Tamandua tetradactyla: one gene and its partners. The protein of the gene in region 4 binds, or shares a complex with, the protein of the main gene of each other region. Links are inferred from orthologs where the notes say so. Each region holds a gene or a part of one and is shown on either strand. Other genes may lie near its edges.

What was found.
Region 1: the proteins of CALCRL (region 4) and RAMP1 are in contact, whole or in part, in a cryo-EM structure (PDB 6E3Y), measured with the Homo sapiens proteins. The link is inferred for Tamandua tetradactyla from reciprocal best matches to the Homo sapiens genes CALCRL and RAMP1. Residues at the interface, in NP_001258680.1 of Homo sapiens: Asn39, Met42, Thr43, Gln45, Tyr46, Glu47, Tyr49, Gln50, Lys51, Ile52, Met53, Gln54, Thr68, Trp69, Asp70, Gly71, Arg113, Arg119, Thr120, Phe228, Leu231, Ile235, Thr239, Val243, Ala244, Gln250, Trp254, Tyr255, Leu258, Phe262; in NP_005846.1 of Homo sapiens: Trp59, Ile63, Tyr66, Arg67, Ala70, Phe83, Trp84, Pro85, Asp90, Phe93, Leu94, His97, Gly98, Phe101, Arg102, Cys104, Pro105, Ile106, Ser107, Gly108, Arg109, Ala110, Val111, Arg112, Asp113, Pro114, Ile118, Leu119, Phe122, Ile123.
Region 2: the proteins of CALCRL (region 4) and RAMP2 are in contact, whole or in part, in a crystal structure (PDB 3AQF), measured with the Homo sapiens proteins. The link is inferred for Tamandua tetradactyla from reciprocal best matches to the Homo sapiens genes CALCRL and RAMP2. Residues at the interface, in NP_001258680.1 of Homo sapiens: Arg38, Asn39, Ile41, Met42, Thr43, Gln45, Tyr46, Glu47, Tyr49, Gln50, Lys51, Ile52, Met53, Gln54, Trp69, Asp70, Gly71, Arg119; in NP_005845.2 of Homo sapiens: Trp86, Ile89, Tyr93, Ser94, Arg97, Leu109, Gly110, Pro112, Glu117, Ile120, Phe121, His124, Gln125, Phe128, Ala129, Cys131, Ser132, Leu133, Val134.
Region 3: the proteins of CALCRL (region 4) and ADM are in contact, whole or in part, in a cryo-EM structure (PDB 6UUS), measured with the Homo sapiens proteins. The link is inferred for Tamandua tetradactyla from reciprocal best matches to the Homo sapiens genes CALCRL and ADM. Residues at the interface, in NP_001258680.1 of Homo sapiens: Val36, Thr37, Asp70, Gly71, Trp72, Asp90, Tyr91, Phe92, Gln93, Asp94, Phe95, Asp96, Pro97, His114, Ser117, Thr120, Trp121, Thr122, Tyr124, Thr125, Asn128, Val135, Ala138, Leu139, Leu141, Phe142, Thr145, Thr191, Leu195, Ala199; in NP_001115.1 of Homo sapiens: Cys110, Arg111, Phe112, Gly113, Thr114, Cys115, Thr116, Val117, Gln118, Lys119, Leu120, Ala121, His122, Gln123, Ile124, Tyr125, Gln126, Phe127, Thr128, Asp129, Lys130, Asp131, Lys132, Asp133, Asn134, Ala136, Pro137, Lys140, Ser142, Pro143.

What each region holds. Positions count from the first base shown.
Region 1 is NC_135329.1:215,246,901-215,254,637, forward strand, and holds the start of RAMP1 (receptor activity-modifying protein 1), read right to left. Parts: upstream 3,021-7,737; 5' UTR 2,975-3,020; coding exon 2,923-2,974; intron 1-2,922. UniProt on the Homo sapiens protein: Accessory protein that interacts with and modulates the function of G-protein coupled receptors including calcitonin gene-related peptide type 1 receptor (CALCRL) and calcitonin receptor (CALCR). Required for the transport of CALCRL to the plasma membrane.
Region 2 is NC_135332.1:24,492,324-24,499,234, forward strand, and holds RAMP2 (receptor activity-modifying protein 2), read right to left. Parts: upstream 3,002-6,911; 5' UTR 2,025-3,001; coding exon 1,928-2,024; intron 1,480-1,927; coding exon 1,414-1,479; intron 931-1,413; coding exon 819-930; intron 692-818; coding exon 436-691; 3' UTR 255-435; downstream 1-254. UniProt on the Homo sapiens protein: Accessory protein that interacts with and modulates the function of G-protein coupled receptors including calcitonin gene-related peptide type 1 receptor (CALCRL) and calcitonin receptor (CALCR). Required for the transport of CALCRL to the plasma membrane.
Region 3 is NC_135334.1:85,045,995-85,052,919, reverse strand, and holds ADM (pro-adrenomedullin), read right to left. Parts: upstream 2,847-6,925; 5' UTR 2,683-2,846; intron 2,257-2,682; 5' UTR 2,236-2,256; coding exon 2,138-2,235; intron 1,962-2,137; coding exon 1,812-1,961; intron 1,619-1,811; coding exon 1,327-1,618; 3' UTR 515-1,326; downstream 1-514. UniProt on the Homo sapiens protein: Adrenomedullin/ADM and proadrenomedullin N-20 terminal peptide/PAMP are peptide hormones that act as potent hypotensive and vasodilatator agents. Numerous actions have been reported most related to the physiologic control of fluid and electrolyte homeostasis.
Region 4 is NC_135329.1:160,930,833-160,938,335, forward strand, and holds the start of CALCRL (calcitonin gene-related peptide type 1 receptor), read right to left. Parts: upstream 3,014-7,503; 5' UTR 2,599-3,013; intron 1-2,598. UniProt on the Homo sapiens protein: G protein-coupled receptor which specificity is determined by its interaction with receptor-activity-modifying proteins (RAMPs). Together with RAMP1, form the receptor complex for calcitonin-gene-related peptides CALCA/CGRP1 and CALCB/CGRP2.

The DNA of each region.
Region 1 (7,737 bases), about 54 Mb from region 4:
TACCGTCATTATGCCAAAACGGATAAGGCCAGTCCGGGGTGCCCTCCGCTGCTGTGTTGACACAACCCCTCCCAGGTCTTCTGGAGAGGCTAACCTGGTCCTGGATAGAGGGCTGGTGACAAGGGCATCTCTGGAGAGACCCCATGGGGTGGGTGCTGGGGTGAGAGTGGGCAGGCAGGGCCCCAGGGGTGTGGTGGGTGGGGCAGGCGAGTCCTGCTGGGACAGTGTGAGGGGCTGGCCACAGTGCAGCTCAGGGCAGAGCCACGGGCTGCCTCAGCCCAGGCCCCCTCCCCATCTCCACTTCTGCTTGGCCCTCCTGGCTGCAATACCCTCAGGCCTTCCCCAAACACGCACCCCAGGCTGCAGGGGCCGTACCCTGCGGGCTCAGGCAGGGCTCAAACGCAGCCCCGTCTATTGCTCTCCATGTCACAGATAGGCGTCCCTCAGTGGCTCCCAGGATGGAAGCTGGAGCCCACAGAGGGGATCCAGCCTAGAGGCCAGAGACACCCACTCCCCAGCCCCACCCTGATGGCTCCACAGAAAGCCCACGGCCAGCCTGGGGCACGTCCTCCAGGCCTGAGTCAGGGCCTGCTGAGAGGGGAGTACCCCCCCAGGACCCTCAGGGAGGCGGGCTGTGTGCCTACGGGAGGGGGGGATGGGGCTGACAGCCAGTCAACAGGGCTCCCAGTCAGCATTTAACTGGAACCCACATCACACCATAGGGCACCTGAGCAACTCATTTACCCAGGCGCCAATTTAACAGGAGGAGCTGTGAAACTGGACTCAATGATGGGGGTGGGGATGGGGGGGGGAAATCAGGAGAAATGGACTTTCCCAATTAACTATTTGCCTTAAGCAAGAAATCCACCTACAGCATTTCCTTCATGTGTCGCTTGATCCCCTTCTAGTTGGGATATAAACATTTTTTAAAACCCCTAGCCCAGACCCCACCTGACTGGCCTATGGAACAGAAAAATCCAGAAATTTCTCCCTGCAGTGAAATACTCAGAGAGGGCACACAAGCAACAAAATTGCTAATTTGTTGATTAGCAGATAAAAACCCTTCAAATTTGGACCTTGGGGTTAAAAGTGCCTCCAGATTCAAGGACCAGGAGAGAAGGATGTGCCCCCCCACCCCCACCCCCACTCTGAGGAGGGGGTCATTGCAAGCAGGACCATCCTACGCGTTATCATCTGCAAACTGCCTTCTTTTCCCACGGATGCAAAACTTTCAGGTGCAGGGCTCAGGGGCTTCTAAGAACCAGGAAACTGCACAAGACACATGAAGTTAACAGAAAACGCAGATAACCCGAGATCTTAAAAACGAAAATGCGAGCTGACCGCAGAAGACAAACAGCTCGAAACAGCCACAGACAAGTTCTTCAGCTTATGCACCAGCACGCTTTTAAAGAAAGCAGTTCACGCGGCCTTCCTGGTGGCTCATCTCCATCGCTGAGCAGGCCTGGCCGTGCCGCCACTCGGGAAGGAAGAGGACAGCGCCTGCTCGGTCATTCTTTTAATAATTGCTGGTCTCCAATGACATTAATTTAGTGATAACCTCATAAAGCGGTGTTTGTTCTGCCAAGAGAGATGCTAGCCAGACCACTCAGAATAATGCTAAGATTTCAGGGATTCTGGCCTTTCCCCAGAACCAAAGTCGTTTCCTCGGTAAACAAGGTCTTTTTTATACGTGGTCATGACTTTGGGTCTTGTGTGCACGAGCTTCAGAGGGGACAGCCTCTGGATGCCAGTAACAAATCTCGATTTGTTTGTGAAGAAACATCACGCACCCTCACTCTCTCCATGCTGACAGTAAGTTTCTTAAGAAATGGAAACAGCTTCACGTGGAGCCAGAGTCATGCACAACAGAGGAAGATAATTCTATCACAAGATTTTGCTTTTCATGTAACTTCAGCCAATTTCGGATTATATCATATTTAACCAGATGTGAGTGGCTGCACCCTCCTTGTGGTGCCTGAACCAACACTCCACAGACACAAGCTGCTTCCAAGGCTCAAAACGACGCTGGCCAGCCCTTTGTCAGGACCAGGGACGTGTGCAGCAGGGGCTTCGGGCCAAGGGCACCTGTCCTGGGAGAGTCACGGGTACGCATGGTAGCCGCGTCCCAGGGCACCGGGTTCTCACCTAAGTGACCCCCTCCATTTCCATTAAAGGATGGCGAAACAGTGAGACAGTCTAATAGTTGAAGCAGTTTATAGGGCTTTTCGGCTCAGCATTGTGTAAAAACACTAGAGGCAGGATAGTGAAGAAGACATTTCTGGTGAAGTCTTGCTAAGCGTGGTGGCATTGGGGTTTCCATTTAGAATCTCTCAAATCAGAAGGGCAAGCACGTTCTGCCACCTTATCAAGAGTCCCTTTCTCAATTGCCATCAGCCAGAAGTGCCAAGTTAAAAAGGAAAAAGAAAGGCTGTGGAAGCGTCCCCGAGCAGGGAGCCGTGCGGAAGGGAGGGGACCCCAGAAGGCTCATCCGCAGAGCAGCGACTGCTGCCTGGAACAGTCAGGTTCCGTACAGCAGCCAGGCAGACGGGCTGCGGTTCTGACTCCCCAACACTTCCGCCAGGAGCACCTTTCTGATCTCGTTAAGGGGTTCAGGGAAGCCGCTCGGAGCCAAAGGAGACGCGGGGTGAGGGACGCAAGGGGAAGCCCGCGCGCTCCTGTCATCCTGCCGGACAAGTTCCCCGGGGTGCGGGGGAAAGCTGCCCGGTGTCTTTCGGCACGCCCTGGCTCCCCGACACCCCCAAAGCTGCCCCTCTTCCCCGTGGGCGGCATCCCTTGCCCGGACACTGAGACGCTCGACCTTCTCGCCCGGAGACTCCGTGCAAAGAGGCTGGCCGCCCGCTCCGGAGCAGCGGGTCCGCGCGTCCTCGGGAAGTCAGGCCGGGCCGCCGCGTCTCTACTCACCCAAGAGCAGCCAGAGGCCCCGCCGCGGGAGGCCGCGCAGGCCCGGGGCCATGGCGCCAGGAACCGAGCAAGCCGAGTGCGCCCGCTGCGCGCCGGGGACCGAGCGCCGCGCCGGCTGGAAGGCGCGGCGGGGACGGGGGCGGGGACGGGGGCGGGGGCGGGCCGGCCCACTGCGGTCCGCGGGGGGCGGGGCGGGCCCGGGGCCAGCGGGACGCCGGGCCGAGTCCAACCACCTGCCCAGCCCGGGCGCGGGGAGAAGCGGCTACAGGCTTTCCTCCCGTCTCCGGCGGCCCGAGCCCACCGTGAGCGCGCCGCGACCTGGCGAAACCAGCGCGTCCCCTTCCCGAGGCACGGCGCTGCTCCCCAGGGCGCGGGCGCGCCTGAAATGTTCCCTGGACAAGTGAGCACTTTCACAAGTAGGGTGGGTCTCCTAGACAACTCCGAGTGGGAGGCACTCTGCTCCCCCGAGCACCATACCCCCTGCCTCGGTTCTGGCCACGCCTGCCCCAGGGTCAGCTCTGCAAAAACCCAGGACCACCGTTCCTTCTCTATGGGGGCAGATCCATAGTAACCTCAGGGCAAACACTCACAGAGACAAACTGAATACATGCAGAGACCTAAAGGAGGAACCGTGAAGATGGAGAGAAGGGCACCGCAGTCACAGAGGGCTTGGGGACTGGTAGGAAAGGGTTCTTGAAGGACCTGTAAGGTGGCCAGGGTGGGCTTCCTGTTCAGGATGGTTGGAGAGGGGCTGGGAGCCCAGCAGGAGGCTGTGAGGGCCTTGTCAGAAGCCTGATCTTGAGCTTGGAGGCATGGAGGAGCTTTCGAGTAGAAAAATAGGGTTAAGATTTGCCCTGGGAGCTGCATTCTGGCTTCTGTGTGGGCTGATGGGGAGGCAGGAGTGGCAAAGACTGGGTGTAGGAGTTTGCATGAAATGGTCAGAAAAGAGCTCTCTGTGGGCATGTGAGTGCTTGTGGGGAAGGGAAACCTGGGGGGGAATAGGTCTGACCCAGGAAGCATCAGCCTGGGGTGGCTAGGTAGGGCTTTCAGAGCCATCATGGTGGCAGGACTCCTCCTTGGGCTGGTTCCATTTCGGCAACAGAGTAAATTCATACTCCTGCTAGGGGACAAACCACAGCCCGAGGGGAAGGCTTTGTGGCGGCAATGCCTTTTTCCTGAAGCTTCATGCACTCAACACAATGAGCCCACCCATTCATCAGGTCAGTACTGGAGGGGTAAACTGAATTGTCTTTAGGCTGAGGGCAAGACAGCAGGGTCTGAGGCTGAGGTTGCAGGCACCTGCTGTAAACTCAGAGAAGAGGTGCCACATCTCCACTCTTGGATACCAGCAAGCAGAAGGGCACCAAGGTCCACACACTTCCAACCTGGGAGTCCCAAAGGCCCTGGGAGAGGAGGGTAGGCAGATGGCAGGGGAGGGCACACACTGTCTTGATTAGCCTCACTTCCTGACCCCCACCTCTTTCATTGGACAGACCTGGGAGTGCCTGCTGCGTGCAAGGCTGCCAGGTGAGCACTGCAGCCCTGCCTCTCATTGGTGAAGCTAGTGGTGACCCCCAGCAAATGTGGGCCTGACATGAGCACCAGTATACAGGGACCATGTGGCGCGATGGGCACAGAGGGCCCCTGCCTCTCCTGCACGTCAAGGGGAGGATAAAGGAAGACAGGAGAAAAGGCAGCCCCCAGCAGTCCTTGAAGGCAGTCTGGGAGAAGGCAGGAGAGGAGGAGGTCCTCCGTGCCCATAACTCCACATGGTTCCTGTATACTGGTGCTCACATCAGCCCCAAATTTGCTGGAGGGCACCATTGGCTTTACCAATGAGAGGCAGGACTGCATTGCTCACCAGCAGCCATCAAACTAGAACACCTTTGAAATCTAATAGTTGTGCTGGGATGGGTCTTGGATTCAATCACTCTGAGCTAATCTTTCCAGAAATACCAGAGCAATATACCAGAAATGGAATGGCTTTTAAAAAGGGGAATTTAATAAATTGGTAGTTTAGAGTTCTAAGGCTGAGAAAATGCCTCAATTAAAGCAAGTCTATAGAAATGTCCTATCTAAGGCATCCAGGGAAAGATACCTTTGCTCAAGAAGGCCGATGAAGTTCAGGGTTTCTTTCTGAAGTGAGAAGGCACATGGCAAACAGTCAGAGTTTCTATCTCATCTGGAAAGGCACATGATGAACACAGTCAGGGTTCCTCTCTCATCTGGAAAGGCACATGGTAAGTATGTTGGTCAGGGTTCCTCTCTCATCTGGAAGGGCACATGGTGAGCCCGGCATCATCTGCTAGCTTCTTCTCCTGGCTTTCTGTTTCATGAAGCTGCCCGGGAGGTGTGTTCCTTCTTCCTCTCCAAAGGTTGCTGGCTGGCAGACTCTGCCTCTTGCGGCTATATTGCTCTGCTCTGTTCTCTCTGAATCGCTGTCATTTTCCAAAATGTTTCCTCTTTTTTAAATTTTTTATTAATTAACGGAAAAAAAGAAATTAACCCAACATTTAGAAATCATACCATTCTACATATGCAATCAGTAATTCTTAACATCATCACATAGATGCATGATCATTGTTTCTTAGTACATTTGCATCGGTTTAGAAGAACTAGCAACACAACAGAAAAAGATATAGAATGTTAATATAGAGAAAAGAAATAAAAGTAATAATAATAGTAAAAACAAACAAACAAACAAAAAAAACCCTATAGCTCAGATGCAGCTTCATTCAGTGTTTTAACATGATTACTTTACAATTAGGTATTATTGTGCTGTCCATTTTTGAGTTTTTGTATCTAGTCCTGTTACACAGTCTGTATCCCTTCAGCTCCAATTACCCATTATCTTACCCTGTTTCTAACTCCTGCTGGACTCTGTTACCAATGACATATTCCAAGTTTATTCTCGAATGTCCGTTCACATCAGTGGGACCATACAGTATTTGTCCTTTAGTTTTTGTCTGGACTCACTCAGCATAATGTTCTCTAGGTCCATCCATGTTATTACATGCTTCATAAGTTTATTCTGTCTTAAAGCTGCATAATATTCCATCGTATGTATATACCACAGTTTGTTTAGCCATTCCGCTGTTGATGGACATTTAGGCTGTCTCCATCTCTTTGCAATTGTAAACAACACTGCTAAAAACATTGGTGTGCAAATGTCCGTTTGTGTCTTTGCCCTTAAGTCCTTTGAGTAGATACCCAGCAATGGGATTGCTGGGTCGTATGGCAATTCTATATTCAGCTTTTTGAGGAACCGCCAAACTGCCTTCCACAGTGGTTGCACCATTTGACATTCCCACCAACAGTGGATAGGTGTACCTCTTTCTCTGCATCCTCTCCAGCACTTGTCATTTTCTGTTTTGTTGATAAAGGCCATTCTGGTGGGTGTGAGATGATATCTCATTGTGGTTTTGATTTGCATTTCTCTAATGGCCAGGGACATTGAGCATCTCTTCATGTGCCTTTTGGCCATTTGTATTTCCTCTTCTGGTAGGTGTCTGTTCAAGTCTTTTTCCCATTTTGTAATGGGGTTGGCTGTCTTTTTGTTGTTGAGTTGGACAATCTCTTTATAAATTCTGGATACTAGACCTTTATCTGATATGTCATTTCCAAATATTGTCTCCCATTGTGTAGGCTGTCTTTCTACTTTCTTGATGAAGTTCTTTGATGCACAAAAGTGTTTAATTTTGAGGCGCTCCCATTTATTTATTTCCTTCTTCAGTGCTCTTGCTTTAGGTTTAAGGTCCATAAAACCGCCTCCAATTGTAAGTTTCATAAGATATCTCCCTACATTTTCCTCTAACTGTTTTATGGTCTTAGACCTAATGTTTAGATCTTTGATCCATTTTGAGTTAACTTTTGTATAAGGTGTGAGATATGGGTCTTCCTTCATTCTTTCACATATGGATATCCAGTTCTCTAGGCACCATTTATTGAAGAGACTGTTCTGTCCCAGGTGAGTTGGCTTAACTGCCTTATCAAAGATCAAATGTCCATAGATGAGAGGGTCTATATCTGAGCACTCTATTCGATTCCATTGGTCGATATATCTATCTTTATGCCAATACCATGCTGTTTTGACCACTGTGGCTTCATAATATGCCTTAAAGTCAGGCAGCGTGAGACCTCCAGCTTCGTTTTTTTTCCTCAAGATGTTTTTAACAATTCGGGGCACCCTGCCCTTCCAGATAAATTTGCTTATTGGTTTTTCTATTTCTGAAATATAAGTTGTTGGGATTTTGATTGGTATTGCATTGAATCTGTGGATCAATTTAGGTAGGATTGACATCTTAACTATATTTAGTCTTCCAATCCATGAACACGGTATGCCCTTCCATCTACTTAGGTCTTCTGTGATTTCTTTTAGCAGTTTTTTGTAGTTTTCTTTATATAGGTTTTTTGTCTCTTTAGTTAAATTTATTCCTAGGTATTTTATTCTTTTAGTTGCAATTGTAAATGGGATTCGTTTCTTGATTTCCCCCTCAGCTTGTTCATTACTAGTGTATAGAAATGCTACAGATTTTTGAATGTTGATCTTGTAACCTGCTACTTTGCTGTACTCATTTATTAGCTCTAGTAGTTTTGTTGTGGATTTTTCCGGGTTTTCGATGTATAGTATCATATCGTCTGCAAACAGTGATAGTTTTACTTCTTCCTTTCCAATTTTGATGCCTTGTATTTCTTTTTCTAGTCTAATTGCTCTGGCTAGAACTTCCAACACAATGTTGAATAATAGTGGTGATAGTGGACATCCTTGTCTTGTTCCTGATCTTAGGGGGAAAGTTTTCAATTTTTCCCCATTGA
Region 2 (6,911 bases), on a different chromosome or scaffold from region 4:
ACTGCTGGCCCCCATCTGTTGTCCAGACCGGAAGGGAGTCTCTTCCTGCATGTTTCCTGGAGCAGAGTTTGGAAAGGGGCAGGAAAGGCCTGGCCTGGGAGGAAGAAGTGCAGGGGTGTGGTTTTCAGGTGGGGGAGGGACAGTGAGGGGAAGTGGCCATCCAGAGTCTGCTGCCCAGAGCTGAGGGCCTGTGGGAGTGGCAGAGAGTCTGGGAAGGACACAGGCCTCATTGGGATGGAGAAAGCAACACTGTAAAAAAAAAAAAAAGTTTATTTTAAAGATTACAAAGCTGTGTAACCCCACCAGCTTGGTTTCCACCAATCCAAGGACCTGCAGTAGGGGTAGGAGTGAGAGAAGAGGGTAGAGAAGGGAGGAGAGAGATTTTTGTGGGAGTAGGGGGGAGGGGGAAGATGGCCCCTGAGAAGCTTGTGCCCCCTAGGCCTGGGCCTCACTGTCTTTACTCCGCCATACCACAAGGGTGACCAGGAAGGGGATGAGGCAGATGGGGGCTATTATCATGGCCAGGAGCACATCCTCTGGGGGGTCAGAGAAGGTGGACTGCACCAGGGAGCAGTTGGCAAAGTGAATCTGGTGAGTGTCAAAGATGATCCTCTCGGCCCAGGGATTGGGGAAGCCCAGGCCAAACTCTTCAGCATTCAGCTCCAAGCAATCTCGCAGACTGCTGTAAGGCCTGGGGATGGGAGAGGATTTGAGTGAGGGGTTGGGCCCAGAGAGAGGACTGCCCCACACTCATTCAAGGTACAGCTGTAAGGAGCAGCCCCACCCAGGCCCAAGCCACCGGCCAGCACTGCCCCTACCTGCTAATCATGGCCCAGTCACACCAATCCTTTTGAATAGAGTCCATATAAGCCTTATAATGCTGCCAGCACTGTCGGACATTTGTCTCATATTCCTCCTCCACTGTCTTCCCTGTGGAGGGAAGATACTCCACATTGATCCCATCCCTGCCCCTCCTCCCAAACCGTCTGTCCCAGATACTTCCAGCAAAGAATCCTGTTCCTCTCTTCAGAATCCTGTTCCTCTCTTCAAACACAGGGACCCGCAGGAATGCCTGAGAAGTTTCCCAAGCATGACACTTTTAGCTAAGGAGACAGTCCAGGCCCAGGAATTTAATGCCTTCCATGTGTACCATATTTCCCAATCTAACAAGAGCTGAAGCACACCTATTTTCATGGGGTCTTCTCACCCACCTGTAAGGTGGGCCACCTCAGAGCCGGGCAGGGGCATTGTGGAATAAGAGGGGAAAACACCTCAAGGAATCACAAGAGAGAAAAGAGGAGGGTTTAGTGGGGTACCACTTGAGGTTGAGGCCTGCCAGGAGGGAAAGAGAGCCTTCCTGTTGATCTGGCTCCCCTCCTTGCCCTGCATCCTCCCGTAGTAGCTGGTACTCACCCTCTGAATTCAAGATGCCTGAGGTGGGAAGAGGCTGAGCCAGGGACTCCTGGGGCTTCACAACAACTGTAGGCAGATATAGGAAAGGGAGGTGGGATGGCGGGGACCTGGACAGCGGAGCCTGAAGAATTTGGGTCCGAGCCCCTTAGAGGTCAGGACTACCCTTGGAAGAGAAAAGAAATAATACAGCCCCCCCCCCCCAAAAAAAAACCATAATCCTCAATGCCCAGGAAGGGAGGGGCTGGTACCACTCACATCCAAGTCGCCAGAGCCCTCTCCGCCCTCGTCAGTCCCAGACCTCCCAAGACGTCCCAGCTGGGCCCTGGGCACTTGAGCTTTCCCCAAGTTGGAAGCAGCTCGCGCGGCGCCGCACCAAGTTGGGGCCAGGGAATCCCGAAGGACAGCGCTCGTCCGTACGTGTCTCAGCATCTGCACCGCAGCCTCGGCCGTCCATCCCCGCACGGTTCCCGGGCCCCCCGCATCTCCCGCCCTGGCCCCGGGGCGCTGCGCTCACCGCTCAGCAGGAGTAGGAGGCGGAGCGTTCTCGGCAGCCCGGCGCGGATCGCAGCGCAGCGCGGGACGCCGGTGCGCTCCGCCCGGAGCGAGGTCATCGCGCTGCTGGGAGGCGAAGTGGCGAGTGGCGGCGGCACTGAGCCGGCCCGGGTGGGGCCGCCTATATCCCCTGCCGAAGTGCAGGAAGCCGCTCCGTTTCCTCGGAGGGGCTGGGACGGCTGCAGCCACGTAGGGGGCGGGGGGCGAGCTTGAGGGGGAGTCGCGGCTGCCGCCGGCCGCTGACGCCTGCTGCTCCCTCCGCCTTGGCGGCGCGGGCCTGCCTTTCTTCCAGCTCACCCTGCGGGGCTGGACAGCTCCCCTCGAAACCCCAGAACCGGGATCTGTTTCCTGGGCTCGGCCGAATGGCGCCCAGTACTCTCCGTGGTCTCACTGCATCTGCGTCCCTGATTCCAGTCGCCCCCTTTTCTGGGGGGCACTGTAGCTGAGGTGGGAGTGGGAAAGCTGCTCTCCGGGACCTAAAGAAGCGGGAAAGGGGGGCTGGAAGGCTGGACCCCGCAGGATCCAAGGCAGGGAGTTGAGGCTGTCTTGGGCCGTGGGAGAAGGGGCGCCTGGAGCTGGGCCCTGCAGCTCAGAGTTCCTTTTCCCTGGGAACACCCACTGCTGTTGGCCCTGCCTGCCAAAGCTAGGGCGGAAAAGAGTGAGCTAGCCCTCAGAGTCTGGAGAAGAGGTAGAAGAAAGAGGGGAAACCAAAGTCCAAATGCCTTCCCTTCAAGGCACCGCCTGAGCCCTAGATCCACAAACTGTTGGGGAGGGAGGGGCAAAAGTAAGATGACTGCATTCCCAGGAAGAAGGTAGCTACCACCCTAAAGGTCAAGGCCATGAGAAAGAAGTGGGGTGGCTGTTAGAACCTACAACTTGCAACTTCATTTTTGAGATGGATATATCATAATCCCCATTTTACAGAGAAAGAGGCTGAAGCCCAGAGCAAGGGCACAGGACTTGTCAGAAGGTCTAGATTCTAATCCCTACCATCGCGGTCCCCAGCTGTATAGCCTTGACTTGTTGACCTTCACACACTCAGATCCCTCCCATGTAAAACAGGGACAGCATTACCCTCCTCACCAAACTAGTGAATATGAAATATGCAAAAGGACATTGTACTCAGCGGATGCTAATTTCCTTTTATCCTTTCCTAAGTGACTTGCCCAAGGTCACGCTGCTAGGAGGTAAAAAGGTTGATCCTGGGGCCATAGGGCCCAGCTAAACCACAGCTGCCTCTGGGTCCTGGGCCAGAGCTTCATTAGCCTAAAGCAGCCAAGGAGCCCAGGAGCTGGGACGGCCATGACGTTCAACTCAGACACAGCTGTCAGCACTGAACTTTGCTAAATTATTCCCAGACACTGACCCTTGGACTCAGCAGCTGCTGTTTTCCCAGTTGAGTGATTCTTGCCCACCACAAATTATTTTTCATGGTCTCTCTTTTTTTTTTTTTTTTTTTATTAATTAAAAAAAGAATTAACAAAACAATTAGAAATCATTCCAATCTACATGTACAATCAGTAATTCTTAATAACATCACATAGTTGCATATTCATCATTTCTTAGTACATTTGCATCGATTTAGAAAGAGAAATAAAAAGACAAGAGAATAAGAATTAAAACAATAATAGAAAGAAAAAAAAACAAAAAAAACAAAAACAAAAAACCTATACCTCACATGCAGCTTCATTCAGTGTTTTAACATAATTGCATTACAATTGGGTAGTATTGTGCTGTCCATTTCTGAGTTTTTATATCCAGTCCCGTTGTACAGTCTGTATCCCTTCATCTCCAATTATCCCTTCTCTCTTTTTTTTTTTTTAATTAACGGAAAAAAAGAAATTAACCCAACATTTAGAGATCATACCATTCTACACATGCAATCATTAATTCTTAACATCATCACATAGATGCATGATCATCATTTCTTAGTACATTTGCATTGGTTTAGAAGAACTAGCAACATAACCGAAAAAGATATAGAATGTTAATATAGAGAAAAAAATAAAAGTAATAATAGTAAAATCAAAACAAAACAAAACAAAACAAAAACCTATAGCTCAGATGCAGCTTCATTCAGTGTTTTAACATGATTACTTTACAATTAGGTATTATTGTGCTGTCCATTTTTGAGTTTTTGTATCTAGTCCTGTTGCACAGTCTGTATCCCTTCAGCTTCAATTACCCATTGTCTTACCCTGTTTCTAACTCCTGCTGAACTCTGTTACCAATGACATATTTCAAGTTTATTCTCGAATGTCTGTTCACATCAGTGGGACCATACAGTATTTGTCCTTTAGTTTTTGGCTGGATTCACTCAGCATAATATTCTCTAGGTCCATCCATGTTATTACATGGTTCATAAGTTTATCTTGTCTTAAAGCTGCATAATATTCCATCGTATGTATATACCACAGTTTGTTTAGCCACTCTTCTGTTGATGGAGATTTTGGCTGTTTCCATCTCTTTGCAATTGTAAATAATGCTGCTATAAACATTGGTGTGCAAATTTTCATGGTCTCTTGCTCTTAAAATCTTTATTTCAGGGTCTCAGGCTCTCAAATCGTGGCTATTGACAACCTGTTGTCCTCCTCCACGGCTGGGGTCAGGAGGTGAATTTAGCAAAGCTTCCAGAGGGAGAGGGGAAGTGGCCTGCTTGGTGTTAACCTTTAAGGGTCATCTCCTGCAGTGATGCAGAAGAGTCACCTTTCTTTCAGAGCCACTTTCGACTGGACACCAAATGCTATCTTTTCTCTCAGAATATCCGCGAGTACCCTTTTCAAGAAGAAGCTATGGTTGAGAGGGAGATTCCTGGGTTATAAGATGGGAGGAGGGCACAACAAGGGACAGAAAGCAAATCCAGACTTTTTCACTGGGCTGGGTCCAGAAGCCCCTGAGCCCACTATGGGTTAGGACTAAGGACGGGACAAGACTGAAGTTGTCAAAAGCAAATGCTGGGTTTGAAATAGGGCAATATGGTATAATGGGCTAAAATATCCTAAAATGGTTAGGATTCTGAGGCCAGGTTCTGCCCCTGTCTTACTGTGTAACCTTGGACAGGTCACTTTATATCTCTGGACCTCAACATTTTCACATATAAAATTGCCGTAGAATAAAAAGGGAAATGTAGATGACTCAGTAGGAAGTGTTATGTTTAACTTAGGGTTGGGTTTAAGTTTGTATGGTAATGTAATGACCTACAAAGAAGAGCTTATGTAACCATTCCTGAACTTAGAAGTCCAGATCCTCCCATTGGAGAATCTACTGATTTTCCCCCTTTCCCTATTTAATATCTGGTGGATATTTTCATTGACTGCTGGACATCTTGGTAACTGAGGGTCTGCTATAGGGGCCCCTTAGTGCTTAACAGGAGACTGGAGACTTTACCTTCCTGTTCCAAGTTGCCATAGGAGATAGTCACATGATCTACAGATATGAGACAGGGAAGGGATTTTTCAGGGTCTGAGGCTGTTTTTATCATGGAAAGCCCCCTCTTTCCAGCCATCCTTGGGGGCCTTTAACTTCTCTTTTAGCCCACTTCTGCTTTCGCTATAAAAAAATTTTTTTTCATTACAGGTAAAATATAAGTATGTACTAATTGTAAAATATTTACATAACATAGAAAACTATAACTCCACCCTGTCTCACTTACCTCCCCACATATTTTAGATTAAAAACAACATAAATGGGATTTAATGTACCTATTTGTCAATGACTTTTAAACTTAATAGGTCTTGCATATCTTTCCATGTTACTATACATAAATGTGCCTCTTTCCTTTTAACATAGCATAATATTGTTTTTAGTCTCTTTTTTCTAATATCCAGTGGGCAGATATTTTTTCTTCTATCTGCCCCCCTCCTCCCCGCCAGTGCCTGGGAAGAAAAGGATCAGATTCCGGTCCAGCTGGTCATTGTCTAGCGATTTCCGGACCCAACCTAGATTGATTCCTTCTGGAATTTACTGACATGTAAAAAAATTCCCTTCTTATTATCTGCCAAGGGCTTTCCTGCCTGGAGCAGGGGAGAGGTGATGCAACCACTAAATCCAGAACAACATAGAAGAGAGTAAAAGGCACTGGGGGCCCCCTACACCATGCAAATTATATGCACCCTGAAAGTAGCATCTTTACCATGTAGAGACATTCACACATGCTGGCCTCTGTCCAAACTGTCTGCAAAATGAAGAGTAGAGCGCCAGAGAAGATGTGAGGGAGAGGGTCAGAGAAGCTAGAAGTCCCTCCTGAGAAGAGTCTGATTCTTCAGAGGGATCAAAGGAAGCAGGGAGGACCTGAGAAGCTGCAAGCCAGGGAGGCAGCTGGCTAAAGGAGGGAAAGCAAAGGGGTAGAGACACAACTACTCAATCTCTCCCCAGGTTCCTCAGCTACAGAATGAGATGAACTTGATTACCTCCTAAAGAGAATTGTTATTAAACAAAAATTTGTCCCTGAGTTAGAAAGAAGCAGAGAAAATGTATTCCTCGTCAACCGCTGGGGACTGAATAGTAACTGCCATTTATTGAATGCTCACCTAACTATGTCTTCATAGTGTGTTCTCTGACACATGTGCCAGGTGCTTTGTATGCATTTCTTAAAGCCCTACCCCATAGGATCAGAACTATCCTGTTCATGAGTAAAATGGGGAAACAGGATCAGAGAGTTTAAATGCTTTGCCCAAGGTCCCAGAGCTTATCATTGTCAGAGTCAGGATTTGAATCCAGGACTGCTCAATACTAAGTGTTCTAGTTTGCTAGCTGCCAGAATGCAATATACCAGAAACGGAATGGCTTTTAAAAGGGGGATTTAATAAGTTGCTAGTTTACAGTTCTAAGACTGTGAAATTGTCCGAATCAAAACAAGTCTATAGAAATGTCCAACCTAAGGCATCCAGGCAAAGATACCTTGGTTCAAGAAGACTGATGATGTTCAGCATTTCTTTCTCGGTTGG
Region 3 (6,925 bases), on a different chromosome or scaffold from region 4:
AAGGGGTTATTGACCAGGTCCAGCTGCGGTTTGCAGGGAGATATCCAGACATTTTGCTGGAATAGTTTCTAATTTTAACATCCACGGCAGCACGGGGAAACCCCTCCTTTAGTAGGTCTCGGAGACCACCCCATCTCACCTAGGCGCATTTTCACACTGGGTTGGGTAAGCAAATCCATAAATTTGGGACTCTGTTGCGCAACCCGGAGAGGCCAGGCTCTCTTCCCCACTAGAGCGCACCCTACCCCGCCCGGCCCGGCCGCCACGCGAAGCGGTGACCTCGAGCGTCTCCGCCAAGCCCTGAATCGCGCCCAGTACACGCGTTCCGCGCGCTGCACAGGGAGAGCCGGACTCGTGACAGCTCTGACCGCGCCATATCGTCCCCGGAGAAGGGCCAGCACACTGGCCTAGCCGTTGTCCCATCTTCCGAAGCCAGCTAGGGCTTCACGGCTCCCTGGCCTGCCAAAATGAGGGGCACCCTCCATCCCGAGACATGTGAGCCGAAAACACATCATCATCATTGAAACAGTTTATTAGTTTGCTGTTTCGCATATCCCTACCCATTTTATACAAATAGATTATACACGGTGTTTCCTTCTTCTACAGCAGGTAATCAGTCTCTCTTTCACACACACAGTCTCACATATTCCACGCAGCAAACAACAATGTTACACCTCGCCGAGACATTCACGTATTAAAATAAGGAGGGAGGGAGGCAATATAATTGCTTTAAAATGCCCTTAATACAATATATAACGTACAAAAATATCTCTATATTTGAAGTTACCAAGAAAAAAAAGACAGCAACAAACTTAAATATTGATAATTACTTCTGTATATACAACACGCATTGCACTTTTCCTCTAGATTTTGGAAAGTTCAAGTAGTAGTGAGGCTTGCACCTCGGTGGGCTGACATTCCGTGAAAAATGGGTTTGTGGGCGGATACGGCAGTGGCTCAGACCCTTGCCCCGGGGGTCTCAACATTTAAGTCTCAGTTTCTCCTCTCGGTGAACCAGGGAGACACTCTCTCGGATTCCTTTGACACCCCCACCCCCACCCCACCCCACCCCGGGGCATTCGGGCCCGATTAGGGCGAAGACAGCTCTACCCCGGAGAAGGAGGGGCCCCTGCAAAGCCAGGGCTAGCCGTCTGATGGTCCCTACCCGACTCCGGTTATTTGCAAGGCTTCTGCTCAGACCGGTCCGGATCCGGCCGAGGGCCTTGGTTCGCAGAAGCCCTCCGCCTGGGGAGGCGCCAGAGCGGTGCTTGCGCGTCTGTTCTCGGCGGCCACAGGCGCTTAAATCCTGAGCAGGTCGCCGAGCGCTTAGTGCGCCTGGGAGACCGAGGACCCGTGTGCCACTGGCTCAGGAGACAGCAGAGTCCGGGCCGGGTCGGATTCCGGCGAGGAGCGCCGGCGCCGGCGGCCGTAGCCCTGGGGGCTGATCTTGTTCCTGGGGGCGACGCCGTCTTTGTCCTTGTCTGTGAATTGGTAGATTTGGTGCGCTAGTTTCTGCACAGTACACGTCCCGAAGCGGCAACCAAAACTCCGCAGGCTCTGGATGTTATTCATGCTCTGGCGGTAGCGCTTGACTCGGACGCGGGTGGCATCCGGGCTGCTGGGGAGGGAAAGAAGGACAATGTGAGACTCCATCGAACAGGGCTTTGACCGGAGCCAGGAGGTATAGGAGCCATTCTGGGACCCGAGACAGCTGGAAACCGCTCCTGCTGTCTGAGTTTCCACCTAGCCCCGAGTATCCTCTGGGCCAGGTCCCCCACATCCACTCCCTCGGCGGCACCTGGTGTGGTTACCTGTCCTGCAGAGTGCGAGAGGGGCCCTTCACGTCCTGAGTCCGAATAAAAGTTTGGGTAGACCCGGTCTTCACGTCAGCGAGCCCGGTGGGGTAATTGCTGGACACCAGCAGTTCCCGCTTCCCACGACTTAGAGCCCACTTATTCCATCTAGAAAAGACAAGAGACCCGATTCGCGTGCGTCCGAGCCACGTCCCGGCCCATACCCAGCCGGCGCGGGATGGTGCGCCTGACCCCAAGGGCTGGTCCCTGGTCCCTCGGGTCCAGCGACGAGTTTCCCTTGTCTGTCAGGTAAGAGGACTAAAGAAGGCACTGCCCATACTCACTTCTTTCGGAACTCCGACGCCACGTCAAGCGGTGCTGTATCCGCGCCTAGGAAGACTAACGAGCCCAAGTACATTAGGGCGACGGGAACCAGCTTCATCACAGCGGCGATACGCAGAACCTGGAGAGAAAAAATAGTGCGGAGCGTGAGCGCGGGAGCCAGCCGCATCGCCCGGGTGGGGCACGGAGGACTGGCGGCAGCTCGGGCGCTGGCGGGCTCAGCCCGCGTTGCGCGGAACTCAGACGCTTATCTCCCCCGGGCGCAAAGAGGCGCCAGTGGCGTTTGCACCCGCCAGGCGGGTGACAAGCCCCATGGGGGAGGCTGCTGCACAGCGCCAAGCTCCCAGAGTTTCCCTGCTCAACTTTCCGGGACTTAGATGACCAGAGCGGTCAGGGTCGCTGGAGCTCCAGCTGTGTGCACGAGCTGGGTCCAGAGGACCCTCCAAATGAGTTGTACCTCTCACCTAGAGCCACCAGTCTCCGGCCTCCATAAGGGTATCCGCCCCGCCCCCCGCCTCCTCTTAACCACAGGGCCTGCGGTGCTTACCTGCTCAGCGGGTGATCTGCCAAGTACTGCGAAGAGAAAGTCCTAGATGTCGCTCTGGCTGTGGCAAACCTCAGTGTCTATGTCAGGCCGCGGTGAGAAGCAAGAAGTGGCAAGGATCGAGCAGCTCTGCTGGTGTCACCAAGAAACCACTGAGTGGGCGCCTCTGATTCCTCCGCTTTATAAGAGCGTGGGGGCGGGGCCTGGACTGCCCTTGCGCCCTCCCTTTTTTTCCGCGCGCGCGCGCGCGCCTACATTCGGGCGCGCGCATTGCTTGCCAGTGGGTGTAGGGTTTGGGGGTCTTTCGTGCGCGAAGGGTTCAGAGAAGGACTCCAGGATATTGGTGCAGAAACTATCATAGCCCTGACTCTCTGGACAGAGTTCAAATCTCAAGGCCGGTCAAGTAGGGCCACTACAACCTCTTGGGTCCTAAGGACCTATGCAGTCTAGAGTCCTAAGGGCTCCTAGCATGGGACTGCATGACCCTGCCGGGAAGGGGACACCAAGCGGGGGGCCAGAGCCGGGATCTGGGGAGCTTTGGCCTCGGGTGGATTGCGCCCCCTGCTGTCTCGGTGCCTACCTGGCCGCGCCCCCAGACTCGCCAGGAGCCTCAGGGGCAGGGCACCAAGCTGAGCCAAGGTAAATTGGGCTGGCCAGCTACAGAGAACGGCCGAGACCCCGGGAGTAGAGGGTTCCGGGGCCTGCTGATAAAATTTCGCAATAAGGGCAAGTCTCCGAAAAGTCTGATATGAGAATTGGAATTTGGAGGGGGAAGCTATCTGAAATTTCAGAATTTACGTGGCTATTTGGAAATAAAGGAATAACCAAAATTAGGAAGAAAGATACCATTTCATTTTTTCCCTCGTAATCCAAATATGCCTTATAAGGTTACAACCTGAGAGTTAGTCTGGCTGCCCTCGGATCCTTCATTCACCCATTGTGAACGTGAGGACTGACTGACTGCCAGGGAACACACTAATGCTTCACCTATGTTAATCGCTTGACAATTTACAGTGCAAGGCCACATCCTGATCGTTCATCCTCATACTAGCCCTTGGGTTGGGCGAGGAAGGTAACATTGCTTTTCCCATTTAATCAAGTAGAAAATTGAAGTTCAGAGAGGTGAGGTATCTTGCCCAAAGTCACACTAAAGCTAGTAAGTGAAGCTCTAATTCGGCCCCAAGCAAGCAGGGTATACTGGGGCGTGGTGTGGATTCTTTAGAGCTGGGGTCACCACCTTTTCAGGGGGAAGAGGAGAATTCCAGCGCCCGCCCAAGGATTTGTGCCTGTTCATGATGAATCACCCCAAACACGTTTGTCACCTGTGCTCTTCCATAGCTGCTTCCTAACTTCACTTGCTTATTCTTACTTGGGGGCCAAACTGGGACGGGAAGGTTCAGCCCGCAGGACTCCCTACTTCTTGCAGGCGTTTCTCTGGTGTCCTATCATCCACTTCAGCCGCAAGTCCTGAAGCCCAGTACCTAGACTGAGAGACTGAGGACGCGAGACCACTGGGATTCTGCGGACTGGTTTCTAGCTCTCATCCGATGGCAATTCGCTCTGGGAACTGGGACAAGTCACTCCTCCTTTCCAGTTTCCCCGTCTATAACGCGCCCGCAGCAGCTCTCTAAGCTTCCTACCAGTTCAACCATACTGGTCCTGAGACCCATTGCAAGGGCGACTGGGCGTTCGGCTGCACTGACCTTGCCCACAGTGTGGTCTGGGCCGCTCGCTGCTGGCTCAGGCGCCTTTTCGCTCTCAGGACTGAACCGTGGACATTGCACCTGGGAAAGGAATGTCAACACCGAGGCTATTTTTTCGGAGGACTGTTCCCCGTGCGAAGTCATCTGAGCGGACCAGAGTTCCAGCTCTGAGGTGTTGGGGGGCAGGTTCCTGGCGGTGGCTCCTGTAAGGGGTCCGGGCGTCGAGTGTCAGAGAGGCGCAACGCAGCAAGCTGGCAGGGCTCGGGCGGGCTGGCTCGCCTCAGGGCGTTCACCACAGCAGACATGGTCATTCAGCAGGTCTGTCTGCACCGCAGACAGCAGGTATTACCGAACGACTCCTCTGTTTTAAGGAACCTACCCAGCTAACCATTCTGTTTTTCGCTCATCCTCCATTAACCACCTCTTTTCACTTCCTCCCCTGCGAGTCAAGTTCTTTGCCCCGACCCTGTCCAGGATGGGTTGGCAGTGTGTAGGAGGTTGCGACTTACTTGTCGCCAGCTTCCAGCTGGGTCCGCTCCAGGACAGGTTTTACTTTCATTTCCCCAACGTGTGCCACCAGCAGACTGGGAAGTCAAGGACGAATGGGGGCCGCCCCACAGCCAAGGATAGTCCCGTGGTCTGGACTCTTTCCTTCCAGTCCCCACCAGCCCTGGGTGGGGGTGGAGGTGGGTTCTGTCTACAGAGGACTCCGCGTCTGCACTTTGGTGATTCTTCTATGAGTCCTTCAGGAAAGCTCCGGATTCCGCGAGAGAAACCCGAGCTCTCCGCTAAGGTTGCAGAAGCGCGCGCTTTGGGCGATAACTTCGCTTTGAGCAGCGTGCGGTTTCAACAAGCAAAGTGAACCCAGGAGGAGAGACTCAGCTCTGCTATGCTCAGCTCCAGTGCCTACGCCAGCGGTGGTGCAGCAATGCCAAAATTCCCACCTTAGAGCGGTCTTGGCACGCGCCTTATCAGCCCAGGTGCTGATAACCTGAGAACTAACTCAAGCTGAGATCTCATGTTTGAGAACTCTGTCAATTTTCTCTGTAAATACTTCCTGGTTTGGCAGCTGAGTGGATTTTGCCAAACACCCTTAACTTCACAGTATGAGTGTGCGCGTGGCAGGGGCGAGAATGATCCCCAAAGTGACTGGGGTTTAAGTAAAATAATAACAATAATAACAATAATAAAAGAATTTGCCAAATCTTGAGATCTATTTCCACCCCCGCCCGTGGAATCTCGTACTCGCTTATTAAAGACTGAACAAATCACTAGAATGTGTTTTTGGTTCAATAGGTCAGGTCTAGAAGGAAACACTGCAGCGGGTGTTCTACTCTTAGTGACTTAACATGGAGTTTCACCCATCCAAATTGCAATGATTGTAAACTTACATTGAGCATGGACAGTAGGAGGAAGGAAGGAAGGAAATGAAGGAAGAAACATCTTTAAAATGTCGCTGGCAGGAAAAAAGAAAAGGAATCCTGGTCAATGAAGAGCCACTTTTTTTTTGCACCCAAGAATTTTAAGAGGCCAGATCCTAAATAACCCCCCAAGGCACTATAATAAGTGTATTTATCTTGGCATTGTATATACACACATAAGCCTAAATATGCCAAAAGCTTGTTCCATGATAGTGACTCAATTTCTTTTTCACATTCCAGTTGAATTATTTTTAGCAGTAAATTGAAGCTTTATCCTTAGTAATGTTTGGGGTTGAAAAAAAATTGTGGTGTATTTTAGCTAACACAACGCGCACAGTCCCTAAACCAGTGTGACCACCCACAGGTCATTCAGAAAAGTGATGAGAAGAAATAAATCATAAATCATATTGATATTAATAAGAATAAAAAGTGAGTAGATAAGTGCATTGTGTATTATCGCAGATGTTTCTTTTATCAAGCAGGAAATTTTATGATGCATTTATTATTCATATAGTTAAAATTGCCTCTGGTAATCTGAGGATTTTTAAATAAAGTTCTATGAAAACAAGATTCAAGAAGTATCCCAGATGATAACACAAAGTGGTTTAGAGAAAGGACACAATCAGTCTTGCAAATTTGGTCACTCACAGGGAAAAGTAAAGCAGAGTACAAGGCTTGGAGACATTTCTGGAGGGATCTTTGACTATTCTAAGGAACTAATAAAAATATAGATCCTTTCCAGGAAAATGCACATATAAATAAACCAATTTAAGTATAAAATAGGTAAACAGTTTCAAGGGGTCAAGAGTTCTGACACAGAATAAAAGCAGTTTATCTTTAATTTTTAACTAGCTCGGAGAGGTGAGGCAGGGAAGACAGTTAATCAATGTCTCTCTCTTCAACCTCTCTCTTTAGGGCATAGTATTTTGCAAAGCATCAGTATGAAGAAAATGAATGCTCATGCTGCTTCATTTTTATGCTCCTGCACAAAACAGATAGAAACAGTCTGTTCTTGTTCAGAACGGTCCTTGTATGTGATAAAGCCAGAAGACAAACCTCTTTGAGAGTTAAATAAGGTAAGTTGCTGCAGGACAGTGAAATAAAACACAGAGAAGGTGGTAA
Region 4 (7,503 bases):
GTTTTATTTGGAGAATACATATTTTGACCCCTTAAAATTTGTTTTGTTAATTTTCCTAATAAGGTCAAGGGGACCCTTAAAAATTCAGTTACCAACAAATTTTAATGATATAGAGAGCAAAGTGATAGCAAAATATTGTTATAATGGTTGCACATATGATCTTAATTAGAATATTATGAATATCTTAAATATGTGATAATGTGATTGATATTCAGCTCATTTTTATGTATTTATCAAAGAGCTTTCCCACTTTATCAAAAGCTTATATGATATTTTTGTCTTAATATTTTGAATTTGTTGTTGAAATTAATTGCTGGTATTCATGAAAATAATGCCATAACATACACAGGCAAATGTAAAGGTTCTTATAAATATACCACGGTGTTGACTCCATTTAAACCTCATCAAATTTAGGAAGCATCAGGGAGTAAAGCACATACATCTGGACCATTCATTTAAAACAATTTTTAAAATTGCAGATCTAGCTCTTATTTCTGTTTACTTTTGTTATTCCTAGTTTTTCAAAAAGAATAAATACTTTGATTATTTTAAAAATGTATATATTTTAACCTAATAAGGTATATTTGGGCATGTGCTAACTAACATATATTAAGAAAAAAAGAGAGGCTGCATCAATTTAAGATAATTGAATATTTTGGGTAAAACACATTTCAGCTCACACTGTTCATGTGATATCTCAATTCTGTTTAATTATAGATACTAAGTATTGGTTGTTGATTTAGTGCCTTGATTTTATGATGCTATAGGGAAATATCATCTATAAAAGTAAGTTCATTTTTTATGACTAAACGCACAGATATTCTGATATTCTCTTATAATTAAAGGAGACAAATTTAGAATATAATAATACCAAATTTTTACTTCAAAAGTCCAGTTATTTACTCAAATTATATGTCTTTGCCTAATGACCCTCATTGCCTAGTGTTTCTCAGTGGTATTTTTGGAAAATCAGGATTTAAAACCATATTATTAGTACAGTTCTGAATATTTAATTATGTAATCATGGAGTCTTTTGGCTAGCAATTAAATAAAAATTAGAGAAGTGGTAGGAGTTCCTTATTATAAAATATATTAACTTGATATAACATATAATTCTAAAAAATAATCTAAATTAAGATAAAATTATTTTTAATTTGTTCCAAAACCATGGCATTGCTTTAGGCATTTAAACACGTTCTTTCCATTTCCCCTCCCAGATATCTAATGGCTACTTACAAATCTCATTCTAAAATCCCTTTTCCCATTTCCACACATATTGAGGGAACATAATATAATTAAAGATTGAAATGAAATAGGAAATCAGCCGCAATATTTTTAAAGTATCTCAAGTGTAAGGCTATTTTAAGTTTCCATTATATTGTATTTCCAGCGGAAAATTACTAAGGACTTACTCAGGATGATTTTCTAGCCAAGTGTTGCTGCGCCAGATTATGGGTAAGTAAATATAGGATGCTCCCATTGAAGGATGTTGCGCACAGTATAATTTCATTTAGGTAAGAAAATAAATTAATTATAAATTGTGTCAGTCATTTTAATTTGAACCCAAATCTGACAAATTTGCAACAGATTTGTGATATCTCTATACCAACAACTAATTTAGTAAACACGACTTTCTTAAATTGTTCAGGACAGTCTGTACTGTTGGAAGGAGCATTACAGATGCTTTATCTCAACATTTTGGTGAGTTTTGTTGTGGGAATTCTTTTTTATATATACTTTAATTTCTTTGTGGAATGTTCTGATACACTCATTTGCGACACCTCTGTTATGTTTCTCTAGCCCTACATATCTTGATATCACACTCTTCCCCCAAGAACTTTCAAAAGAAGACCAACAGGTTGAAGAAACACCAACTATTAGCTAAAGAAATTAAGATTGATATATATTACTGTCTGTACATTTTTTTTCAACCTTAGCTCTAGTTTTCCTTTGAAGCCCACCCCAAGACCCAAAACAAAAGAAACAATTCAGGGTTAGCAAAAGAGAGCCATAATCACATCTGACCACAATGAACAATGAAAATTCCATTAATTCAGTAGTTAGAGATACATGTGTACATAGAGTCAAAAGACAAATAGAAGGCAAATATAATGAATCCACCAGTGATTACTTTCAACTATCCCTTATATTCAGTCACACAGTGAGTGATATTCCCAGACCCCAAATAGTTATTCTTTTATCCTTTTCTTAGAATATCAATTCTATGGAAAGAAAAAAATTCTTCAATGTTTTCCAGCTGTTAGAAGAAAGCTTAGCAAATAATAGGGCTAATTTAAAAAGGCATTGCTCCCTGATAAAGATATTTGTTCAGAAGTATACCTTTTGATCCATTTTAGATTTTAAGTATTGCTGAATTTATTTTCTTGAATACCACTGTAAATTATAGTAGCTAGTAGCAATAGATTTTATATGCCTTTTTGGGCAAATATGCTATAGTTTTCCTAACATGCAAAATAGATGAGACTATGTTTCAACATAATTTCAATATCACTAACTAAATTTTGTTGTAGAAACATAGTTAAACTACATGGGAATACTATTCAGAATAAGCATATCTATTTTGAATAACATACTTACCCACACACAGCTCTTAAGGAAATTCTTGATGTAATATTCTTAGGATGAAATTTGAGTTTCTGAGATTCCACAGAAGTGATTTACCCCCAGTCAAGGTGGGGAAAAGTGAAAGCCTTGCAATGGGATCCTGCAGGCAGAATGAGATCCAGTTAGCAGAGCTTGATGATCTTAAACCAGGAGGTGACACTCTCTGCTGGAGAGAGGAGGGTTGTTCTGAGTAGACTGGAAATGTTGCAGATTGTTAAATGATCAGCAGCAGAAGGGAAACATCAGAGCTTCCTGTTACATCACTCTGACCCCGCCTGCAGTTAGTGTTAGGTTACTTTCTTTCTCAAATAGCACACCCAGGAAAGCAGTACTCTTTCTTATTCTGACAGAAGAGCAAGAAGCAGCCTGAACAGACACAGATCATATGCTGTATGAATGCATTGTTACTAGCAAAGGCGGGCTGTGTTTCAGTTTTACTCAGTTCTGTTAGAACTTGCCAACCAGAGTTGCCCGTGATTTGAAGGAAATCTGAATATAATATTCTTCTCAAATAATCAAAGGAGTTAGGTGTGTGCCTGTGTGAATCACAGTTTACAAAACAGCCGGGACAAAATTTGGTCTAACATTCTTCGCTTCATAAGTGAGCAAGAAAACATAATAACTGCATTCATCATAATTAATTCCATAATCTGCTTCTTATTAAATTGGAACTCTGATAATTAGATGCTGTTCCTTGATCGCTTTTCCTCAATTAGATCAAGAAATTTTATCCTGTAGGTTTTTTTTTACTTTGTTCATGAAATAACTATGCATGTGTGTACATGTATATATGCATACATATAGCATTATTTTTCATATTTAAGCATATATATTCGAGAAAGCAGACGTTTGAGAACATACACATAATTTAAAAATCATTGCACATATTTTAAATGGAGATTGATTTAATTATGTTACCACCTATAAAATGAAAAATAATTTATACTGTAGGTTTGAAGAAAATGCAGCCGTTTAATAACCATAATATTATGGAAAAAATGTAAACCATATAACAAACTTTTGGTCTGATTTTTTAAAAAAATGTTACCTCAAAAATAAAAATTTATTCTGACTGTGTTTAATAAATCACCCACAAGCTCCAGAAAAGGAAGTTGTAAATTTGAAATACATTTTTCATCTTTGACAGTATGGTAAATGTGTGAGGTACAATACTTAAAATTCCTGAAACCTAAGTATCACAGAAATCACTTAATTTCCTTGAGCTTCAATTTTCTTGTCTGTAAAATAGAAGATATGGATCAAAGATATCTGAAAATCCCTTATTATCTCTAGACTCCGAATCAACCAATTCTGTAACATCTAGAAATGGATGAGACATTGTGATCATTCAATTCTTAGCAAATTTGAGTCCAGAGGCTCTGAGTAAAGGCAAGTTATGGCATTAATCAGCAAAAATAGCTATGGGAGGGCAAGGCAACATAAATTAAAGTGATAGTATGTTTCTGAAGCAGCACACTCCTGTGATATGGAAGAAGATGATTATATAATCTTTGATTTTAATGGCGGCTAATCTCCATTGATTATAGTTTAGAGGAAAGACTTGTAAGAAATTGAGTTACACCAAATTGTTTTTTTGGGAAATAGAAAACAACTAGACAATTTAAATTGTCAAGTTATAGAATATTGCATTTTCTAGATAAGGGTCTGGTTCTGATTTCCTTTGGGGAACTGCTTATCTGAACTTCATTTTGAGCTGCTTCCTTCAGCCCTTGAGAAGAGAAGTCAGTGTTGCACGCTGTGACTTGCTCTACACACAATGACCATTTAATCAGAAAACCAACGTGGTTATTTTCAGCCGAAGCTGTGGAGGTAACTCAGTCTGGGAATGAGTGAGAAAAAAGTACAAAGCATGGGGATTGTAAATTCCAGCCCTGGAACTGAAACTTAACTTGGTATGACCATTGCCAAAAACACTCTCTAGTTCTTGTTATCTTCATTTTAAAATTCACAACAGAAGTGAATACTAGATTTTAATATCTGCATGATCAGGATCCTTGTATTTTTCTCATTTCCCATGCTTGGCATAATTTATGACCCCTAGAAAGAAATCAATGTGCATTGTTTGAATTGTATTAAATTATGAAAAGCTAAAATTTTTCCATATAAGCCTGTGAGTCCCCTAAAATTTTTGTTCTACCAAAGATTTATCAATTTTATTTGTACAACTGTAGTATATGTTGGTACATGGAAAAATCCCTGCTTAGCACTATAAGTCTTAAGATATTTAATCCAGTGATTTTTCTCCTCTACCACACATCAGGTACTGTACTAAAATGGGAAGGCTAGTATTGGCTATAGTATTCATACTTATTGGGCAGGCATCTGGGCCTAAGGTGTTAGTTCATGATGACTCTTGGATAATTTTTATTAGCATCATATATGTCTTATTTAGAAATAATATGCAAATTACCCTCCATTAATCACATATTTAAGAGCTGCCATTTTATCAGCGCCACCTCCTAAAAATATAACTTTAATGATATAATGATTTTGAAGGGGGGAATGAAAAGACAAGTAATGCAAACCCCTTAAAGACACACTAAAACATGACAAAATCTCTTTGGAAAACTACAGTAAAACAAAAATGAAAATATTTCAAAAATCAGTGGGGTGAGATTCAAGGTAGTTCAGTGTTAGAATTCTCACCTGCCATTTGGGAGACCTGGGTTCAGATACCGGCCCATGCACTCCCCACCTCTCCCCCCCCAAAACGAAAATTCAACAAATGATGGTGCAATAATGAGGTAGTCACATGGAAAAAGAATGACGTGACCCCCACCATAAAGCATACCAAAAAAAAAAAAAAAATCAGTGGTTTGATTCTAAGCCAGTGTGGCATTAATTAATTAGTTCAGCCTTGCTATATGCATGCTCTCTATATGCATGTACTTATATTATAATCCTTGTTCCGGAACAGATTAAAACCACTCTCAGTCATTTAATAAGTAACGATAAAGTCTTACTTTGAGCTTGGTACTATAATAATTGTGTTGAGGAGTGAAGGAAGAATAGGATAAGTCCTGCTCTATAGTTGCTTCCATCATAGATCGCCTAGCACATGAAGGATCAAGTGCCAGATTTTCTCTAATTAGCAACTGATGCTGCCAGCAGAGTGTGGAGTAAGCCATGCAGAGCACTGTCAAAAGGTGTTTTTGCAGAAGGGTCAAATAATATACAGGTGAAATTTGATACATATAACTGAATAGTTACATTTATTCCTTTAAGAACCCTCATTCAGCAGCTGATGTATTAACCTAGAGATAGATTTGTGGCCCCAAGTAAGTCTCAAAATTACACTAGTCTCCCAATAATGAGTTGTGATTATTATGTGAACTGCACTTTGAATCATGCTCAGGGGGAAGCTAATGCAAAGTCTCTGGGTTACTATTTGGTTTGATCTAGTTAATCAAATTAGACCCAAAATGTGGTTTGACAAATTTAGTCTCAACAGGCTGAACTGACCACTTATTTTTAATTCATTTGGATACTGACTTGGAAAACTGCCTTGAAGCAGAATTCTGCCACAAAAGCAAACCAAAGCAAAACAAAACACTTTTACATGATGCATAATGGATCGAACCTCTTTGGTGAGAGTACAAGAATAGCGGGGTCCAATAAGCTCTTTGAAAACAATATATTAATTTTTAAGGTATTATTACCTTATTACCTTTGTTTTGGTAATATCTGACAGTTATTATTTACACCTGGAGATAAATTACACAGTCAAAAATTATATATACTCTTCCTAATTAAAATATGCAACAATAATGTAAGGAGAAACAAATAATCAGTAAAATCTTCATTTTAAAATAAAAATTCTTCCAACAAGGCACTCGATCTGACTGTTTATTATTTTACCTACCAATTACTGCTAGCATTTTTCAAGCTATTTCTCAAAGCAAAGCAAAATAAATTACATTTAGTAAAAGGGCCTGGATCCATGACAGTCATTGAGAGTGAAGATGTTATTTTCCAAAAAGTTATTCCATCTATCATTACAACTAATGGGCTAATTTTTCACTCCAATTGCATGCATATCTTAAGTTATCATCTTGAGGGAAACATAATGTTATTTTAAAAAATTGCTATAATAAGGGTTTTAAAAGAGCGGAAAATTGTTTAAATTTGAAATAAGTAGACATTGAATGAGGTCCACATATAGGTAACTAAGACTGATTTACTAGTTTATATATGCTACCTTTCTTAGTATTTAATAATGTGTTTGACTAAGAAAGTCAGACAATATATCAAAAACAATTGGCTAAATGCCTATTGCAACTGACTTTTACTAAGTTCTGATGGATTTGGATCTACAAAGGAACTCAGTATTATCTTACCCTGAAAAATAGGGGAGTTGATTGCTTGAATAAGAGCTGGTACTGACAAATGAGATATGCCATGATCTAATTAAAATGGATTGTTATATACCACAAATTATAAATGTATATTTAAATAAAGGTGTGACATGTTCCTCCTGAGAGTGAACTTCCTCCAGTGTAGTGTGGGTGAATATGATAAGGTGATGATCATATGTCCAGTTACCTACGGCAATCCCCATTCACACTTTTACTCTCAAAAGTGACCAGGTTTGAACCATAAATTTTATATGATCACCCTTACCATACTTACCCATACTACACCAACAAATGGGACATAAATCCTGCGGGTGAGTCATTCAGTAATTCATTTGGGCAACTATATCTCTTTCCCAAGAAAGTTCTAAATAGTTGTTCATAATTCTAAGGTAGTTTTAGTTGTCATATAAAAAGGTAGTTTCAGTTGGCATTCTATAAGAATTGATTGTGAATTATTCTGAAATGCTTCTACTGGTGCATATTAATGTTGATTTTTAAAATA